2 linked regions of the Mus musculus genome follow. The protein of the gene in region 2 interacts with the protein of the main gene of each other region in a pairwise test. Links are inferred from orthologs where the notes say so. Each region holds a gene or a part of one and is shown on either strand. Other genes may lie near its edges.

Region 1 (3,828 bases), on a different chromosome or scaffold from region 2:
AGATGTTTGAAATAAGCAGAAGCATTTATTTTTGTCATTAATCTCTAGTGGGGAATACTGCACACTTAGAAACCCGAGGGGCTTGTAGCATAGTAAATAAACATGTGCACTGGGCTGTGTGTGCTGGCACATTTCAGGGTTGTAGAAAGACAAATGATGGTGTGTCTCAGAAGATGTAGACACAGCTGTCGTCAAGTGTGCTGCAACATATTAAATGGCAGCGATTTAAATTGAAATAGTTATCTTTTTGCATTCATATGAAAGATGTGGAACATCAGGTGACTAAAAAGAGATGGCCTTTTTTTTTCTCTCTTTCAAATGTATACTCTGGTTCCAAAATTATTTATTTCTAGTTATCCTTATTTGGTAAAATGCAAATTTTGAAAACCAGATCTAAGGTCCATCCGTTTAGTTAGGAATGTGTCTGATGCTGGGAAAGGAGCAGTGATTTTAACCCTTCAAATGAACTGACAAGCAGTGCACTCTCCACATTTGTGGGAAGCAGGAGGACAGGTCGTGAGTGACACCTGGCCATGACCCAGGGAGGAGTGAAGAAGCAGGGTGCTTAGTGCTTTTTCCAAAGAGAAATCTTGAATTACTTTTCAAAAATATTTTTTCCCAGTCCTATTTTTTCCTAGAACCTTTATCATTATGTGTGTTAGATTTTGTCAGCAGACTTTTCTTTTTTATATATATATATTTTTTATTAGGTATTTTCCTCATTTACATTTCCAATGCTATCCCAAACGTCCCCTATACCCACCCCCACTCCCCTACCCACCCACTCCCACTTTTTGGCCCTGGTGTTCCCCTGTACTGGGGCATGGCCAATGGGCCTCTCTTTCCAGTGATGGCCAACTAGACCATCTTTTGATACATATGCAGCTAGAGACAAGAGCTCTGGGGTACTGGTTAGCTCATATTTTTGTTCTACCTATAGGGTTGCAGATCCCTTTAGCTCCTTGGGTACTTTCTCTAGCTCCTCCATTGGGGGCCCTGTGATCCATCCAATAGCTGACTGTGAGCATCCACTTCTGTGTTTGCTAGACCCCGGCATAGTCTCACAAGAGACAGCTATATCAGGGTCCTTTCAGCAAAGTCTTGCTAGTGTATCAAAAATATTTTTATTAGGACAATAGATATTTTTTCTCTTGAACATGTTCCACAATAATTTGGTTTACTTTTTGTTTGTTTGTTTGTTTGTTTTTCGAGACAGGGTTTCTCTGTGTAGCCCTGGCTGTCCTGGAACTCACTCTGTAGACCAGGCTGGCCTCGAACTCAGAAATCTGCCTGTCTCTGCCTCCCAAGTGCTAGGATTAAAGGCATGTACCACCACGCCGGGCTTTGGTTTACTTTTTAATATATGTAGTGTGTGTGTGTGTGTGTGTGTGTGTGTGTGTGTGTGTGCCTGTGGCATGAGAGTACACATGTGTATATGTCGAGGCTCTCCACCTTGATTTTAATGAGACAGGGAGACAGAGTCTTTTGCTGAACTTGAAACTCACTATTCAGCAAGACAGTCTGGCTAGCAAAACCCAGTGGCTCTTCATGCCTGCCCCCACTGGCTTAGCAAGCCCTGCAGGGAAAGGACTTGGATGTATGCTTACGTTGTCTTTAGACAGAAACTAGAACCAATGTCCCATATCCCAGAGGAGGAGAGGATCCTGCTGGACTCAACAGTTGTGTACAGAGCTCTCCTAGGTGTGTGTGTGTGGGGGTGGGGGGAGACCAGCAAGCTTAGTATTTTCAGTGTAATCTGATTTGTTCATTTACATCGGTATTGTAGTTAATGTTAGAATAACGTCTTTCTCCAGAGAGAGCTGGAGTTCATGATGGGGGAGATACAGTCTCTTAGAAATGCCACTGGAAGAGAGAGAAGGTGGAAGCCTTGTGATCTGAGCCCTCCCAGATGCTGATGTGGATGCTGATGCAGATGTTCCAGGACAGCGCATTGAAGTGTGAGGGAGGGGAGGCTGGCCCAGGACTAAGAAATGATCCTGGGAGTAGAAGATCAGAAGCTACAGGGCAGACTTTCTCAGAGAAACGGGGTCTGCTAGGCATTGTGTTTTAGGATGGGGAAATGAGAGGAGTTGAGAGATGGTTGAACACATTTGGAGGTGGGGAAGTTAGAGTGGAAGCAGAGAAAGGCTGGGGAGGATGAAGGCTGGTGAGAATGTCTCAAAAGGCTGAATAAACACAGGGAAGATCTGAAGAGGCTCAGCAGGGTCTGATTTTGAAGGGTGCTGGTCCCAAAACTTCTCTGCTAATTGCAAAAAGTAGAAGGAAAACATTTAAAAGCTGGCTTAAGGAAGACAAAGCTGTTAGTCTTTCACTGCTCAACAGAGACTGTCAATATCTGATCACCAGATCTGGCCAAGGGCCTGTGTGCTGTAGCCTTAATCTCTAAAGAGTCTTTACAGGCTAGATGGTTGGGCCTTTGGGAGATGGGGGTCCAGTGGGGACCCCAGCCTATCCTCCCTCCCCTTTGCTTGTGGGACATGAGGATTTAGTCTACCTCATTTTCCTGCCATGATATTCTACCCCACCATAGTTAACCAGGTCCCTCCCAAGCCAGGAGCCTAAAGGAACCTTAAATCTTCATGGATTATCTCAAGTGTTGTGTTAAGTGATGGGAAGTAGACTAACGTGGAGCAAGCACTGATAAATCAGAAAGGGTACTCCACTTGGGTCCCCAAGGTCTAAACTTGCAAATAAGATAGGAGGGGGAAGGGTGGTGACTGAATACTGCTGTGTGGATTTTAGGCACAAAGGCTTTTGACTGCTGTTCCAATGCACTGGTAATGTTACACACTGTCACACTGTCATTGTGCTGATGCAGGACTCAGAGGCTAACATACCCACTGGGTCACCGGATTTACTCAGGTGAGAACCACTTAGAGAGGGAGGTCTGACTGGAGTTGACAGTGCATTGGCAGGCTGTCCTGCGGATCCCTGTCCAGCCTGCATCGTCCCGCCCATCAGTAATGGCTGGAGATGAAGCTGAGCGCAGAGCCTCACCTGGCACTGCCTCTGGTACATCTTCAGTTCCTGCAGGAGCTTCTGGTTTTCATCTTGTAACTTGTTCCTGCTCAGCGCGATTTCACTCACGGCCGACTTTAACTTCTCGATAATGAACTCATCTCTTTGAGTGGCTTCACAGCCAGGATCCGACTCACACACCAGGCGAGGGATCTCAGAGCTGCTGTCCTCTGCGCACTGCTTTTTCCCGTTTAGCTGAGTTTGGTAATTTTGTGCCTGTTTCTGAGAAATATGACAACCAGGTAAATGGAGTGAGGAATAGCATATTTAAGCTTCCACAGAGGCAAAGAATAAAATAATTAGTAAAGATCTTTTAGTATGGAGTTTGGCTTATACAGTCCAGGTTTCTGATCTCAACTTCAGATGATGTGGAGAGAATATGTATCTGTGTAAGCCTGGAGCAAAGATATAGAGAAGGGAAGGGGTGTGCAGGAGGAGAGGTCTTATTAATCAATAAAGAAAATCTAGAAGCTATAAAAAAAGAAAAATATTAACTAAATCACATACTAGTCAAAAAATGCCTCTATGGTAAAGAAATAAAAACCAGAAACAGATCGAGGGAAAAATAGTTGCCAACAGAATTGTTTTTTAGCAATTCTCCCTTTGTAAACCCTCTACATAGCAATAGGAAAAGCAAGTGGCACAGAGCCAAATGTGTGGAACATGGGGGAATCATGCTCGGAGGAGGAAGTGAAAAATGCTAACATGTACATAGGACATGCTGAGCCTTACAGGTGAGTGGGGCATGTAAAACAAACCACACACACACACACACACACACACACACAC
Region 2 (3,352 bases):
ACAGTCAGGGCTACACCCAAGTTTAGACAAATAATTTTCAGTGTTTTGGAGGAGCACTTTTTAAACTAAATATTACACATAGTTCACCAAGAACTGTGGACTATTACAAGGTTCTTCTTTAAGCTTTGGCAAAAGGTACTAGGCTCCATTATGTCCATCATGTCTAACTGAAAATTCCCATGTATATATAAAAGCATCTTATCTACTGACAACCATTTTGAGTTATAAATTCTAAACTAAATTTTATGATGTCCATTCATATAAATACTTAAAAAGTAAAATGCAAAGAATAAATACTAGTTTACACAATGCAACATTTTTATTTCCTTAAAGAAATAACTCATCTATTCTAGTTAAGATTTCTAAATCTTGATTACAGTCACGTTCTTTTCTACTAAAAAAGGGGGAGACCTAAGCTATGAAAAACAAGGAATATTTTAAAGTAAAAATTGTTTATAGAATTCATTATAGATGTCCTTAAAGTGTAAAAACAGGGTGAAATAAAAAATAAAAAAAACAACTGCAGGGAATTTGTTTATTGAGCATGAACGTTAACATGTCTAAATAAGGTATTCACTTTGAATTTTCTTTGTCCTGTCACTGGACATAATGGAAAATATTGCACAGAACTCAAGCATGGAAATAATAATTAACAAAATATCTAAGCAACAAGTAACTGGTTTACATTTTAAAAATTAATCCAAACAAAATAATTTGAAGTGCTTCTCTGATTTAGAAGTCTTAAAATGTCATCTGATGTTTCATTTGATATTTTTCTTTCTTTTTTTTTTCCTTTTTTTTTTTTTTTTTTTTTTACAAATTGACACTGTACAAAGAGTTCAAATGGCCAGTAAAACTACTGCCTTAAACTGTTGGCTTTAAGTAACAGAGGTATAATTTGAGTTCACATCAGTACGTTCTAAGTGGTAACAGTACAAGCACAGAGCTTTGCTAGTATCGAGAACCTGTTCTGGCTCTCTCTTTTCTGAGGACAGCTATCTGGAAAGCCTCTAAACCTGCCACTATATCCTGCAAAAGTGACAATGACAAAAGTTGGCCTGCTCATTGCCCGCCGCTTACCATCGTTAACACTGGGCTAAACAGAAAGTGAAAATTCAGTCAACAGTAAGCTGTGCAGTGGTTAGCTCTGGACCTAGGCAGTTTGATAATGTTGATAACTATTCAGTCAGGTTCTCAAAAGAAAAACAGTTCCTCCAAATTAGACCAAAATCCTACACTGAAAGAAAAAAAATGCTATGAATGAACTGAAGATTGCAGTTTACCTGGTTCCTAGATGGCTGTGAACTACACACAACTTAGAATAGTGGACAACATATAACCTAGTTTGTATTCTTAGAGTAAATTGATAGGTCTATGAGCAATGGCCTTTCTAAAGTTTTATTTGATATTTAAAATTTTGTGAGTGAATTATTATGTTGCCATATTAAGCCAATTCAATTAATAATCTTCAAGAAGTACTAACTTCAGAAATGCTTTGAGACTGGAGAATGAGAATGGAGAATGACAGACTCTACAGGTCTGAAAAGCAGGCTTTCAGTGCAAGCTTGCCTCCAAACTTGGAATATATACTATTCATTATCTAAAATTCTCAGTTCCTCTTAAAATAGAAGACTCCTGCATGTTTAGCCATCCCATCTCATTCAAGATTAGTCTTAAGGGACTGACTGCACTGTTGCTAAACATGGTGTTATTTCTCACATACACCGTTTACACTATACATCAATTTTTTACTCCTTTAAGAGTATTAAAATAACAAATATGGTCCTTAAAAGTCTTCCACCTTAAGTTAAATATAAAATAAGGTAGTTTTATTAATTTCTTGCTAATTAATTGACTTAAAATCTATTTATCAAATAAAAAATAGTAAACTTTAAGTTTTACCCAGAAAGCAGATAACATTCTGATCTGTTCCTAGTGTCTACTTAAAATGGTTCATCAACAGTTAGTTCAGCTCGTGAGATTTTCCTTAGACCAGCACTGCTGCTGCCCTACAGGAAAAGCACATCACCACCTACACAAATGATGCTCAACCGGGATCCTCTTGAGATGTGAGAAGTTCTTTAGGAAAACCTAATAGCTTGATTAATAATCACCAGCACTGAAAATTTCACTGAAAAACTGATAAATAAGAAATATAGTTTTACTGCACTTTTGCCTATTTTTAATGCAAAAACAGGAAGATAAGATTTCCAAGTAGAATATGTTAAAAACCAAGAACCAGAACACTGGTGAATTTCATTCATTTTCTGACACCAACATTTTCCAGGATTATAACAGTCATGTAGGTTTATAGAATTTGAAATTTATAAATTAAAGTATAGAATTCAACATAACAGGGAAAAGATAAAAATACAGCTAGAGGTGTCCAAATTTCAAACAAAATTCCAGGTAAGTATGGCTGCTGCTTTCTTCCAGTCATTTTTTCCCATAAAATATTGGCGGTGTCATAAGGAATCTCCTGTGCTTCCCATTACCGAGGCCTTCTGAGAAAACAATCCATTGCCTTTGTAAATTCAGCTCAGCTGAAGTGTCGCGCCAGGCGGGCAGATCTATAGTCAGCACGAAGTTGTACAAAGGAGTGGAGTATGTTCTTGTCCAGATTGGCAAGTTGTTCTCCCGAGCAGACTTGTTTTAAATTATCTGGAGCCACGACCAGGAGATTGCAAAGTGCATGCAGAGTATCAAAAAGATGTAATACCATTGGAATCTGAATGGAGAGAGGGAAGGAAGCACTGAACCACAGCAGTTTATTTTCCTATGCGCTCTGCAAAGTCTTCTCACATCTTGCTAGTCAGAACTTAATAACATGGGGAAGTTGCCTCCTATGTTAGAATTTCTTAAAGCTTCTGAAGAGCTAAAACTCAAAGGTTTCCATAGCTAAAAGTTTTAACCATTAAAAAGATTCATATTGGGCTAGAGAGAGATGGCTCAGTGATTAAGAGCAATGACTGCTCTTCTGAAGGTCCTGAGTTCAATTCCCAGCAACCACATGGTGGCTCACAACCATCCGTAATGAGATCTGACACCCTCTTCTGGTGTCTGAAGACAGCTACCGTGTACTTACACATAATAAGTAAATAAATCTTTGGGCCGGAGAAAGCGGGGCTGAAGCGAGTTCAATTCCCAGCAACCACATGATGGCTCAGAAACATCTGTACAGCTACAGTGTACTCATATACATAAAATAAATAAATCTTTAAACAAAAGATTCATATTACTCAGTTTTTCAATAATTTGTAACTTGGTACACTAGAACTAATTATCTTTAGTATAACACCTTTAAAAATAATTTAAACAAGCTGGGCGTGGTGGCGCACACCTTTAATTCTAG

What was found.
Region 1: the proteins of Exoc5 (region 2) and Deup1 interact in binary tests that used the Homo sapiens proteins (3 or more experiments, as listed by UniProt). The two-hybrid records come from large-scale screens. The link is inferred for Mus musculus from reciprocal best matches to the Homo sapiens genes EXOC5 and DEUP1.

The regions. Positions count from the first base shown.
Region 1 is NC_000075.6:15,596,678-15,600,505, forward strand, and holds part of Deup1 (deuterosome assembly protein 1), read right to left. Parts: intron 3,262-3,828; coding exon 3,019-3,261; intron 1-3,018. UniProt on the Homo sapiens protein: Key structural component of the deuterosome, a structure that promotes de novo centriole amplification in multiciliated cells.
Region 2 is NC_000080.6:49,011,622-49,014,973, forward strand, and holds the end of Exoc5 (exocyst complex component 5), read right to left. Parts: intron 2,729-3,352; coding exon 2,540-2,728; 3' UTR 523-2,539; downstream 1-522. UniProt on the Homo sapiens protein: Component of the exocyst complex involved in the docking of exocytic vesicles with fusion sites on the plasma membrane.